Arabidopsis thaliana: one gene and its partner. The protein of the gene in region 2 interacts with the protein of the main gene of each other region in a pairwise test. Each region holds a gene or a part of one and is shown on either strand. Other genes may lie near its edges.

Region 1 (6,778 bases), 420 kb from region 2:
ATTCCAAAAGGATTCTCTTTTGGGAAAACCCTAAATCGACCCACCAAATTTGGAGACTGTGATTGAGCATGAGCGTCAGAAGTTGATGAACAAAGTCGACGAAATCGAGGATTTCAGATTCGAGGATCTCGAAATGGAGACGGAGAAAGATAAGGAAAGGATGATGACGCCGACGACGAGAATGTCTTATTCATCTTCGTCGTCTCCGTCTCCATCTTCGGCTTCATCATCTGCTGCGTCCTCTCTCGCTGCCAAGGCAATTCGAGCATCTTCTGCGCATAGAGACTCTTCTCTTTCTTCTGCTTACTCGTCTCCTTCTTCTGCTCCTGTTCCCACTCCTCCCAAGGTTTCATCTTTTGTTCTTCTCTCTTTCTGGTGTCGCTTAATTGTTCATAATGATTCATGGGTTTACTCTGTTTTTGCTTCAATTGAAATGTTCCAAATGATTCATGGGTTTACTCTGTTTTTGCCTCAATTGAATCGTTTGAATAGGAGGTGAATAAGGCTTATGAGTATACTTCTATGAAGAGTTTGAATGAACCAAAACGAGGCTTTTGGGGAAGTTTAGCTAGTAAAGCTAAGGCTTTTTTGGATGAGGATGATCCTAATCAGTTGCCTCAAAGTCCTAAGAGAATGGAGCAGAGCATACCTTCTGCGACAACTTCAGGAACTAAGGTTAAAGACTAGGTTTTTATAGTTGCATTTGCTCTTCCAATTGTTTTGTGGGGTTGCGTTCTTATGGAGTAGAAATCCATTTCCATGTTTCAGGAAGCTGGTCAGACTGGTAGGAAAAGCGAGAATCCTTCATTACAGAGAAGATTAGATGCGATCACTTCATCGTTGAATTACATTGGTGGCACCATTGGTACTGTTGTTGAGGTTAGTTTCTTACTCTTTATGCACCCGTATATGGCACACTATAGGAGACATATATTAGTTTTGTTTTTTTCTTTAGGTTATGCGAGTTCTCACATTAGTTGTGTATACAGAGGCATATGCATTCTTGTGTGTATCGGTGCATCTTCTGCACTGTACTAAATGAGAGTTTGTTGGGTTGAGATTGTTGTTTGTCTGTGATTATTCTTAGGAGGGTATTACAGCTGTGGAGAATCGTACTGCAGGCATCATTCAAGAAACCCGTAAAAAGATTAAAAAAAAGCCAAGTCTTACAAGGAACCAGCAGAATCCTGAGATACAAGCTGATTTGGAGATTCAACTAAAGGCATCTCGCGACGTAAGGTGGCTGCTCTGTATCATTTATTGGTTCACAGCAGCAAATTTATATCTGCTTATTTCCGCTGCTGTTATCTCTTCAGTGAATGATTATAGAATAATCGTTTTTAGTATTGATACTGAGCCTCCTTTGAATTAATCTCAACAGGTTGCAATGGCCATGGCTGCCAAGGCAAAGCTTTTACTTCGGGAGCTGAAGATGGTAAAGTCTGATCTGGCTTTTGCGAAGCAACGATGCGCACAGCTGGAAGAAGAAAATAAGGTTCTGAGGGAGAACCGTAGTGGCGACAGTCAGACAGATGACGATGATCTGGTATTTTACTCTTTACAAAGCCATTAATGTTAACATTTCTTTATGTACATTTCTGATCTTTGGTTGTGTGTTTTCTCTCATCTATAGGTGCGACTTCAACTGGAAACACTGTTAGCTGAGAAAGCACGGTTGGCTCATGAAAACTCGATATACACCCGCGAAAACCTCTATCTGAGAGGAGTCGTCGAATATCACCAGCTAACAATGCAAGATGTGGTCTACTTTGATGAGAAGACTGAAGAAGTAACGGAGGTATATCCCATTAATGTGTCTTCAATGTCTTCTTCATCAGATAACTCTTACAATCCAAATCCAAGTTTCTTGGAGCTCAAATGAAACACCACAACAACTATCAGTTTCTGCTGTTCTTGTTGTGAATCAGACAAGAAGACAAATCGTTGCCTGTAATTGCTCTGTATTTGTAGAAATATATATACTCTGTACTCTTTATTTGGGGTGGGGTCTTAAGAATTAGCAGTGAATGTTATTTATTACCCTTAATTAACTTAAATAAAAGAAGAATGTTCTATTATTTCCCTGAAACAGTACCATGAAAGCTAAAAGTTGAACTGGTGAGTAGAAATTAGTCAATTATTATTGGATATTACCTGAAATTACAGAACAAACAATATATATATAAAGCTACATTACAAAGGTTGCATAGGCTATAAGATTTGTGTTTCTTATTGAAATACATTTTTGTAGTATAGAAAATTAGAACACCTTTTTAACATAGATTGGCTTGAAACGGCTTAACTAGCGGAACCAGCGAGCCGCTTAAGTGAAGCGACATGACTTCATTGGTCGAACCAATGAGCTTCCCACCCACAAAGATGGCTGGGACCGGCGTGGAACACCCTAACCTCATTAGGGCTTTCTCGATCTCACGACATTCAGGGTCTTTATCGATCTCATGGACTGTTGGGTGAACCCCAAGGTCTTGGAAAAGTACTTGGACCGCATAGGACATGCAACACGAGCTCTTGCTGAAAATAACCACTCCTTTCTCTGACGACATTCTCACAACTTTGTCCATGGTTTCTTGAAGGAGGTCTCGATCAATCTAGGGATTGTTTCTTGGAGAAGAAGAAACAAAATCTTCCTTCTCTTGTGGATTGAAAGAGATTTAGAACTGAAAACGCCTGAGATTAAACCTCGCTTTTGGGGTTCCTGTTTGAAGAAAAGAGGGTTTTGTGTGTGTGTGTGTGTGTGTGTGTGTGTGTACTACAGTATTAAGCTCAGTGTTGCCTGAGACTTGAGTTTCTTGAACCATATGCTATTTATAAGCAAAGAAAGAAAGAAGAAAAGAATGTTAGAGACCAAAAAAAGAGAGATCACAGGAGATCTAGCTAAAGGTTCCCCAAGTACATTAAAGTGACTTTGTTAATATTTTGTTTTCCTCTTTAATTCATATTATATTAGTAAGGAAGGACCAACAAAAGTTGCATAATCACAATTCACCTACCCTTTTTTCCTCCTAGATACCAAAGTGAGCATTTTGAGTTGAACAGGACAATATGTTTCTTTGTTGCAGATGCTAAAGAATATGGTACATCCGCACATGTTTTATATATGTATTTGCAACTTTTTTATGCATGATCGGATTAGAATCTTACAATTTATGTGGACCAAGCTTTTACTTTTTCTCTCGAAGAATATTATTTTGTTCAAGAATCATGCTCAGATGAAGGGTGTGGGTGTGAGATAGCCCAAAGTGGTGGGGAATAAGCAGAGAGATATGCTTATTCTTCTCTTGATTGACGGTATTTTTCGCAGCCACGAAAAAGAGATCAGGCTGGGTTTGATGGATTGGATCGTGTGTGTGTCAACAATTAAAAACCCTATTCTTGAAACATGTCACTATACAACAAGATATGATTGTCTTTGTGAGATTCTCTCAATCTCACTTCTGATCATGAAGGAATAATAACTCCTATCGGTTTCTTACTTTCTCTTGTGTGCCACTTCCCTTTCAACAATTTGCCAAGATTCTTTCCCATTTACCACTTGACTAAAGTAAACCAGTGATTATGAGATCCCATGTCAGTTGAAGTAAGCTTAGACCTAGAGTAATATGTATAGGACATGAATTAATTTACTAACGCCAATTGATTTTGTTTAAAGATTAAGGAACTTATTTGGTCCAAGTAAGATATGTTGTCCTTCATAGAATGAGAACAATTTGAGTTGGACCAAGACAATCATCACCTCGAAAGATAAGGATTAGAGTTAGAAATCCATGAAACTTAACATAGTTACAAACTCAGCATATATTTGGAATTGATCTTCTTGATTCTTATATTAATTATATATATGACCATCTGAATATCTATGTTAACCCCCTCTTCCATTACCACCAAAAAGTGCTTCCCGTAAGATCGGAGACTTGCCCTATATAGAAATATTTGTTTTGGTTTGGTAAAAAGCTTTCTAGGGATTATAATTAATGATTGAAAAAGGGTTAGTAGCTAAGTGAGGTTATATGGTCACTCACACGATGAAACCTTGAAGAAGTGGCCATAAAAGATAATGGCAGGCTGGCGATAATGGCTACTACAAACTCCCTTATAAGCCATGCATGATCATAGATTCATAGTTACTCTTTCTCTCCGATAAATTTATATATTTATGTTTCAAAAGCTAATAATCTTTTAAGCAGTTTTCAGAAGTGAGTTGTTTAGCTTTAAGAATATACAAGAATTTGAATATTTAGAGGGTTCATTTTCGGATATGGTCTAAAGAAATGGGCCGGGTATGCATTGTCTCGACGACTATGACCAAACTGAGAAGAAAATTGAACGTGCAACCTCCTAGCTAAGTGACATACCAATGACTTATAGAAATCTCATATATGTTTAATAAGTCATAACGCAAAAATTATTTCTAACAAAAGCAAATGGGTTGATTTTGGAACTATATTTAATGGCATAGAAAACTTCTTCGAATCAGAAAAGAATATAAAATACGTGTGAGTTAGGATGTCACCATAGAAAATCTCCACAAAAGCGTGAACTCGATTCTATATATATAACATTCAATCATTCTTACTAAAAACATCTATATATATATATTTTAAACAGTATGGATCCATTCATTCTGATCTGTACCAGATTGCAAAAATTAGTAAGATATCACAATTAAATAAATGAAATACAAATTGAGTTATTTTGGATTTTCAGATGAAACCACCAAACAAATACAAGTTGACTTGAATGTTCTCCAACGCTATTTTTTTCTCTATTATATTTTATAACTAATTAATTCATTAAATCACATGTCCAAATATTTAATGATGAAACATAAAGTAAGTAAGCTAGTGACGAGAGAAGGACACCTCATTCTCATTACATAATGTGACGAGATTGAGCTGTCGTTTTGTTGTAAATATATGGTCGGGGGTCAATTATTCATATGCAGTTTTAGGTCATTTATAAAGACCATTAAAAACGTCTTTAATATTTCAACAATCTTATAATTCAATTATTAAGAAGCATCTAGATATGGATTCACATTAGAGTTCGTATTCTTTGACAGCAAATTCACATTAGACTTTTGATATATATATTGTACATTTGTAATATAGTATACGAAAATATTACTTGAAAACTGATGTTATGTGTTGCCATGATGCCATTGGTCCATGACTTTTCCACACGAAGGCCAAAGCATACTCTTATATTATATGAGTTGAGTCATTCTTTTTTCCTTTTGACGGCAAGTTGAGTAATTCAATTCTCTTGTCACTTACCGGTGATATAAGAGTTAATCTTATAAATAGTTTTCTGAAACTTAATATACTATAACAATGTAAAAGTCGTCGCTTTGTTATTTGAAGTGAAAATTAAGCAATGTTATGATATTTTTACTAATTAACTCAATATGAAAAACAAAAATCCTCTTAACTAAAACAGAAACATAAAAGACGACTTAGTTTTTGCTTTAGATCTAGACTCATAACTCAAAAAACAATTTCATTATAAACTTTTGTAGATCTTACAATTTTAAAATAAAATGTACATTAATGTTGAAAAGCAAAATCTTAAATTAGTGTATACTACTACTTTTTTTTTATCACCGTGATAGATCATTAGATCCTTAACCTCAATCCCTAGAGCCTGCTTATTGCCTTTAAGCATTGTGCAATCACTACCAAACACACTCAAAACTAAATAAATATAATTTATAACTTATCAAATAAAATAAATACTATCAAGTGTGTATGAAATCGATGACAATTTATTTATTACCTTATTACCATTTGTGTCTTGAAGTACACGTTAAGCTATTTTTATGTGTTATAAAGGCTTCTTCGTCAACCAATTACGAAATCAAGCTTTTGAAGCTTCTCAACAATGGCGGCTATTCCTTCCCACAACAACCTTCTTACCATCAACCACAAAAACTCCATAACCGGTTCTTCTTCCCTAAATACCAATTTCTCAGAAATCAATTTTCCCGCCAAATTCCGAGTAGCTACGAGAGCTTTGTCCAGAACCGACGAGTCGTCTTTATCCGCCGTGATTTCTCGCCTCGAGCGAGAAAGGCGGGAAAGACAAGGTTTATTAATCGAGGAAGCGGAAGGAGCTGGAGAACTATGGATGACGGCGGAAGATATTCGCCGGCGAGATAAAAAAACCGAAGAAGAAAGAAGACTAAGAGACACGTGGCGTAAGATCCAAGGAGAAGACGATTGGGCCGGGTTAATGGATCCAATGGATCCAATTCTTAGATCGGAGCTAATCCGTTACGGCGAAATGGCTCAAGCTTGTTACGACGCTTTCGATTTCGATCCCGCTTCCAAATACTGCGGCACCTCCAGGTTCACGCGACTCGAGTTCTTCGATTCTCTCGGAATGATCGATTCCGGTTACGAGGTGGCGCGTTACCTCTACGCGACGTCGAACATCAATCTCCCGAACTTCTTCTCGAAATCGCGGTGGTCTAAAGTCTGGAGCAAAAACGCTAATTGGATGGGATACGTCGCCGTTTCAGACGACGAAACGTCTCGTAACCGACTCGGCCGCCGTGATATCGCGATTGCGTGGAGAGGAACCGTTACGAAACTTGAATGGATCGCGGATCTAAAGGATTATTTAAAACCGGTAACCGAAAACAAGATCCGATGCCCCGACCCGGCCGTTAAAGTCGAATCCGGATTCTTAGATCTCTACACTGACAAAGACACAACCTGCAAATTCGCGAGATTCTCAGCGCGTGAACAGATTTTAACGG
Region 2 (7,365 bases):
CAAAAATGGTAAGCAGCTTCCAAGTTAGTTGATATATGAAAAGTGAAATCGTCTGCCACATATTCTGTTGTTGGCTTTCCGCGAAGTACCCCCACGTTATTTACCTATGTTGAACAAAAATTCTCTCTTAAGTTATCTTTTTGTTTTGTAGAGTTTGCTTAGTTGTTTCTATATAAAGATCATTCACTTACAAGAATGTTGAGTTTGCCATCGAAAATCGAGGAGACGGTTTGCATCAGTTTTTCTCTCTCAGGATGAGAGGTTACATCACATACTGAACCACTCACTTGAAACCCTTTATTTTCCCATTCGCTTAAACTTTGATTGAGCAAAGTTTTGGATATGTCACATATGTGGATTTTAGCTCCAAAACCAGCTAACTCTTCTACTATGGCATAACTAAAACATTCCACAAATATGAATTCCATGTAATCTTGACCATTCAGGTTGTTATATCGAAGCAGAACATAAACTTAAGAGAATAGAGAAGAACTACGAACCCGATTCCGCTGGCTGCACCGGTCACAAGAGCAGTCATACCTTGAAGACTCCATAATCTTTTGTCCATTTTTCTAGTGACCATATACCAGAAATGCCACAAACTATATATACAATGAATATGGATCAGATAAGTGTGGAGTATGTTTTTGTATGTGTGGTGGAAATATTATGTAGCCGTAAGAGAGAACATTACAAAAATATCTAAGTTAGTGGCCCCGGCAAAAATGACATTTTGTAGTCAAAACCTTTGGCCAAAACTTTCTTATGGCTAGATAACAACTTTTTAGTGTCTTCCAAAAGTAGAAGTCTGATAATAACAAAGGCCTAAACCCTATTGCTTATCCACCTTGAACAAAGTAAACTAACTATGAACTCTTCATCACTAATGACCTTAGAAGATAACTCTTCTACGACTCTCTACTACTATACTACTTCCCCCAATACTCATTCTTTTCTCTTTATCTCATTTTTTCCTTGCTTCCTTCCCTATATGAAGCTTATTATAATGGCAAGCAAATAGGAAAATGTTTCTCTCATACTTTTCGTGTGACAAATAGTGATGTAAGAGATGATGGATCTTGACTTAATTTGTAATGATATCTTTAGTGAAACAGACAATAAAGGAAAGAACTATCAAGCTTTTGCGTTCACCTTTGAATTATATATATAAAGATGGTTTGTGACATTTCTCCAATTATTTCATAGGGATTTTAAAGCATGTTGTGATCTGCTTTTGGCTTACTCTTTGTTATCAGAAACATCTTCTTGTTCAAATACTTAAAGCCAGCTTAACCCATTGTATGCTTAGTTTCTTTAAATTATGATTTACATAAAAGAATGTTGAGCTTGCCACACATATAATTTAGGCGATTTGCATGTGTTTCTCTCTCGTGACAAAGATATGAACCACATACCGAACCACAATTAAAATCCAATCCCACAAAAGTTGATTGAGCATAGTTTTGCATAAGACATTTAGACAAAACACAACAAGGCCATTATCAAGCCTGTGGCTTATAAGAGAAGGCATTAACAGTGAAACCACCATCAATACAAATGGTTTGACCAGTAATATAAGAAGCTGCTGGTAGACACAAGAAGACCACTAGTGATGCAACTTCATTCGGCTCTCCAGCGCGACCAAGTGGAGTTCTACTGAACAATGCCTCCTTGAAACCGACGTCCTCGAGATACTTCAAGAACACACAATTGAGAATTAATTAGAGGAATATAATTGAGATTGTTACATTCACATAAAAAATAAAAACTAAAATGTAAATGTTGACTTTTTTTATATTACAGATTGAGACAAAGGAGTCTTGACAACATTAGGTGCAACAGCATTGGCTCTTATGCCGTCTTTTGCCCATTCACATGCTAAATTTCTAGTTAACTGGTTCAAAGCTCCTGTAAAATAAATCAACAGAAAAAAGCAATTTAAAAAAAAAACATATTTGATTAGTCAGTCTTGCAATGAACTACCTCTAGTAGCAACTTTGGTTACCTTTAGTTAGACTATAAATGGATCCACATTGAACTGATACAACCCCTGTAGCAGAGGACATAAAGACGATGCTTCCAAATCCTGAAGCCTTTAAAAGAAGATGTGAAAGCTGGCTAAAATGGAAAGCTGGTTCCAAATTTGTTGAGATGTGGTAAGAGAAATCCTCTGCCACATATTCTGTTGTTGGCTTTCCACGTATTACACCAACATTGTTTACCTACATATGATTAGGCATTTCCATAAGATTTATGTTAAGAAGCTCTCTTTAAACAACTATGCTTGGCTTTTCGCCTTTTCCTATAAGATCATTTACTTACAAGAATGTTGAGTTTGCCATCAAACAGCGAGGAGACGGTTTGCATCAGTTTTTCTCTATCGGGCCGAGAAGCTACATCACAGATTGAACCACTCACTTGAAACCCTTTCTTTTCCCATTCACTTAAACTTTGACTGAGAAGAGTTTCAGAGATGTCACATATATGGATTATAGCTCCAAAACTTGCTAACTCCTCTACTATGGCATACCTACACTACACAAAAATTCCTTTAAGTCTTGACAATTTAGAAATACAAGAAGAACAATGAGCCAAAAACATGATATAGAGAACAGAGAATTAAGACGAACCCGATTCCACTGGCTGCACCGGTTACAAGAGCAGTCATACCTTGTAGACTCCATCTCTTATCCATTTTGCTTGAGACTAAATGACCAGAAATGCCATAAGATTATATACAATGAATGTGGATCAGATAAGTGTGAATTATTGAGTTTGTTTTTTATGTGTGGTGGAAACATTATGTAGTAGCAGTAGGACTTATAACAGAGAACATGACTAAAATATCTAAGTTGGTGGTTCCTCAAGAAAATAACTTGTTGTTGTCAAAATCTTTGACCAATACTTTCTTATTTTTCTTTTTCAATAACTTCACTCACAAAAGAAAACTGAAATTATAAGTTAGAATGGTGAACAAAATTTGGTACACTTGCTAATTTAGATAACAAAAGGACATTTTTATTGATTGGTCTTGTTCTCATGATGGACTTCGGAGTGGTCCATTGAACTTAGAGGACTCATTCTTGTGAGTATGATTCTATGACTAACGCTATTTAGTGTTATCTTTGATTCCATCTAGTACTTATGACATTAATCCATATATAGACACATAAGTTGCAATAATTAGAGAAGGATAGTTTAACCAAACAAATAAAATAGTACTAGTTTAATTGATCCTTCATATAGATAAGTCCCTCATTTCTCTTACAAGACTAAAGAGCAACAATTTGACATTGTGTGTTTTTGTACAAGGGACATAAACTCATAGCGTGATGAGAGATTTTATTAGGGAGAGAATATTTAAACAGACAAGAAACGACAAGACCATTTTCAAGCCTGTGGTTGAGAGGAGAAACCGTAAACCGTGAGGCCTCCATCAATACAAATGGTTTGACCTGTGATATAAGAAGCTGCAGGAAGACACAAGAAGACCACTAGTGATGCTACTTCATTCGGCTCTCCAGACCGACCAAGTGGAGTTCTACTAAACAATCCCTCCTTTTTACTGACGTCTTGAAGAAACTTTTAAGAAACAAAAATTTAGAGATAATAAGAGGAATTGAGGTTGTTAAATTCACAACAACAACACCAAAACGTAAAAAAAAAATTAAAATTTATTTCTTACGAATTGAGACTGAGCAGTCTTGACAACATTAGGTGCAACCGCATTGGCTCTTATGCCGTCTTTTGCCCATTCACATGCCAAATTTCTAGCTAGCTGATTTAGAGCTCCTACAAAAGAAGTCAACAAACCACTAAAAAATAAGGAAGTGAAAAACTCTTTGTTGATTAGTCAGATTTGTAGTAATTGTGGTTACCTTTTGTTAGACCATAAAGTGATCCACAGTCAGTTATTGACACAACCCCAGAAACAGAGGAAAGGAACACGATGCTTCCATAGCCTGAAGTCTTTAAGAGAGGATGTGAAAGTTGGCAAAAATGGTAAGCAGCTTCCAAGTTTGTTGAGATATGAAAAGTGAAATCGTCTGCCACATATTCTGTTGTTGGCTTTGCGCGAAGTACGCCCACATTGTTTACCTATGTTGAACAAAAAGAAGATTTCTCTTTAGAAAATTTTGCTAAAAGAAATGCTTAGTTGTTTCTATATAAAGATCATTTACTTACAAGAATGTTTAGTTTGCCATCGAAAAGCGAAGAGACGGTTTGCATCAGTTTTTCTCTCTCGGGACGAGAGGTTACATCACAGACTGAACCACTCACTTGAAACCCTTTCTTTTCCCATTCTCTTAAGCTTTGATTAAGCAGAGTTTCGGATATGTCGCATACATGGATTCTAGCTCCAAAACCAGCTAACTCCTCTACTATGGCATAACTAAAACATTCCACAGACATAGATTAAATTCCTTGAAACATAAGCAGAACAATGATTCAAAAGATGATATAGAGAACAGAAAAAAACAAACCCGATACCGCTGGCTGCACCGGTTACAAGAGCAGTCATTCCTTGTAGACTCCATCTTTTATCCATTTTTCTTGCTTGTTACTAGCAGTGACCAGAAATGCCACAAATTATGTATACAGTAAATGTGGATCAGAATCCAGATAAGTATGAATTAATGAGTTTGTTGTCTTGTTTGTACGTGGCATGTTGAGAAACTATGTAGTCGTATGTTAGAAAACATGACTAAAATATCGAAGTGTCCCAAGCAAAAAATGACATATAGTCAAAATCTTCAACAGTGAAGCCATCTGTCCTTTTGAGTCATCATTGCATGATTCTGTCTTTGTGCTTGATCAACTGAGCATTGTAAGTTGATGAGTGTCGAAGCCCATCTTCTCATTTGAGTTCAACTTGTGTTCTGTTTCTGCAAGGCTCGTGTACTCTTAAAAGAAACATCTTCTGTTAAGGTTTCTTGTTCATTACGTTTTACAATATGTCAACATACCAAAATGAATTTAGTTTTAAGGCTTAACCTAAATATTCAAATCATTCATTTTCCGATGTTATTGTTTGGTTTACTGTTTTCATTGGACAATACACACAACACAGACCTAGCTCAAGCATGTGGCTGATAGGAGAAGCCATTAACAGTGAGACCTCCATCAACACAAATGACTTGACCAGTAATATAAGAAGCTGCAGGAAGACAAAGAAATGCCACAAGCGGTGAGACTTCATTTGCCTCTCCCACACGCCCCATGGGTGTCCTTTCCTCTGCTTCTTTTTTCATCTCCTCAACACTGAGAAGCTGAGGGATTTTCAAATAAGTTAAAAAGTTAGAATCAAAAGTTATTTTTTATTTTTTTTTCGCCGTTGTTCTAAGGAAATTGTCCTTACATCACTAATCAAAGGAGTTGTGATTAACCATGGACAAATAGCGTTAGTCCTTATGTTGTCGCTTGCCCATTCGCAAGCTAAGTTTCTAGCCAACTGATTCATGGCTCCTGAAAAAAAATGCTTTTATATACACTTGCATATAAATCATAATGTAAAGAAATATTGTTTTAAAGAGTATATACAGTACCTTTTGTTGCTCCATAGATGGATCCAACACCGACATGCACGACTCCGGCAATAGAGGACATGAGCACAATGCTCCCTGAGCCAGAGGCTTTCAACAAAGGGTGCGCAAGCTGTGAAATATGGAAAGCTGAGTCGAGATTTGTAGCCATAAGAAACGAGAATTCTTCTGCTGTATACTCTGTGGTCGGCTTGAGCATTAACGTTCCCACATTGTTCACCTATATATAAGATATGTATAGACCAACAACTAAAAACATCTTTACAAAAAAAAAAAAAGTAATTAAAAACACAACATGGTTTGGTTCTTGTAAATCCCAAGCCCGGGGAGGAGAAGCTAATATGTATACACTTACGAGGATGTTGAGTTTTCCTTGGAAGAGAGAGGAAACGGTTTCCATGAGTTTCTCTCGTTGCTCACGCAAAGAAACGTCGCAGATAGAAGTGGTGACCTGAAACCCTTTTTCTTGCCATTCACGTAAACGTTCTTGAAGCTGAGTCTCGTCTCTAGCACATGTGTGGACTCTTGCTCCCAAAATTGACAGTTCCTCCACAACAGCTTCCCTGTTCATGACACGCACACACACACAAACATAGTCAGTTCTTCCATAACTAAATATCACAATGCAATAAAAGAGCATCTAAAATGGAGACTGACCCGATGCCTTTAGTGCCACCGGTCACAAGAGCATTCATACCTTGAAGACTCCATCTTTTATCCATTTTTTCTTGTATCTTACTTGAAGTGACCAGAAATGCCACAGATTTTGTATATACAATGAATGTGGAACGGATAAGTATGAATCTAGTGATTATCTTTGTATGTGTGGTGGAAATAATACGTAGCCTTACGAGTGAAGATGAAAAAAATCTAAGATAGTGGTCCTAACCAAAATTGACATTTTATAGTCAAAATATTTGAGCAAAACTTGCTCATTGTCATTTCCATTAACTTCACTCACAAACGTCTTACAAGAATGTTGAGCTTGCCCTCAAACAACGAGGAGACAGTTTGCAGAGTGTTTCTCTCTCCGGACGAGAGGATACATCACAGATTGTACCACTCACTTGAAATCCTTTCTTTTCCCATTCGCTTAAACTTTGATTGAGCAGTGTTTCAGATATGTCGGATACATGGACTTTGGCCCAAAACCAGCTAGCTCCTCTACTATGGCATGCCTAAAACATTCCACAAACATAAACTCCTTGAATTCTTGACCATTTTGGATATCAAATAGAAGTAGAAAAATGGGGTAAGAAGACAAACCCAATTCCTCCCGCTCCACCGGTCAGAAGAGCAGTCATACCTTGAAGACTCCATCGGCTGTTATCCATCTTTATCTATCACATAACTAACAAGAGCTTCTTTAAATTGTATATAAAGATAGATTACTAACAACTTTGTAAATAAGAAAAGATACAATTACATGATAGACATTGGGCAACTCCTGATAGTTACATCTAGGGCTGTCCATCTTACCTAAACTAGTGGGCGTTTGGGACCGTGGACAATGATTTTAGCTATCAAAATTATCCGAACATATATTATATTGGAATACTTACTCAAAACCCAAATACTCAAAACCCAAAACCCACTATTTCATGTCTCATTACTCTAAATGGAAACCCTTAGTGACATCTGCATACTTTGATGGACCCTCATTTGACACCCATGCTGAGGAAAAAAATCTCTCAACATCAATTCTGACCACTTGTCTTATCTTGAGTTTATTTCAAACCCAGCTAGCTAGTTCTTCCACTATGTGGTATGTCAGTATATGACCACTTGTAGGATTTGGACCAAAGTTCTTTTATAAATTACT

Evidence for each region.
Region 1: the proteins of AT2G29310 (region 2) and AT2G30540 interact in a two-hybrid assay, tested with the Arabidopsis thaliana proteins (one large-scale study listed by BioGRID).

What each region holds. Positions count from the first base shown.
Region 1 is NC_003071.7:13,008,986-13,015,763, forward strand, and holds AT2G30540 (Thioredoxin superfamily protein), read right to left. Parts: upstream 3,059-6,778; 5' UTR 2,583-3,058; coding exon 2,274-2,582; 3' UTR 2,120-2,273; downstream 1-2,119. Other genes in the region: AT2G30530 (zinc finger CCCH domain protein), read left to right, coding at 86-346, 493-675, 769-879, 1,088-1,234, 1,382-1,546, 1,634-1,882; AT2G30550 (alpha/beta-Hydrolases superfamily protein), read left to right, coding at 5,899-6,778. UniProt on the Arabidopsis thaliana protein: May only reduce GSH-thiol disulfides, but not protein disulfides.
Region 2 is NC_003071.7:12,585,398-12,592,762, reverse strand, and holds AT2G29310 (NAD(P)-binding Rossmann-fold superfamily protein), read right to left. Parts: upstream 2,898-7,365; 5' UTR 2,696-2,897; coding exon 2,631-2,695; intron 2,536-2,630; coding exon of another isoform or gene 2,531-2,535; coding exon 2,323-2,530; intron 2,223-2,322; coding exon 2,006-2,222; intron 1,909-2,005; coding exon 1,802-1,908; coding exon of another isoform or gene 1,793-1,801; exon of another isoform or gene 1,695-1,792; coding exon 1,503-1,694; 3' UTR 1,284-1,502; downstream 1-1,283. Other genes in the region: AT2G29320 (NAD(P)-binding Rossmann-fold superfamily protein), read right to left, coding at 1-104, 192-399, 501-583; AT2G29300 (NAD(P)-binding Rossmann-fold superfamily protein), read right to left, coding at 3,120-3,221, 3,424-3,582, 3,686-3,792, 3,879-4,098, 4,186-4,393, 4,485-4,549; AT2G29290 (NAD(P)-binding Rossmann-fold superfamily protein), read right to left, coding at 5,079-5,270, 5,360-5,466, 5,547-5,763, 5,899-6,106, 6,201-6,265.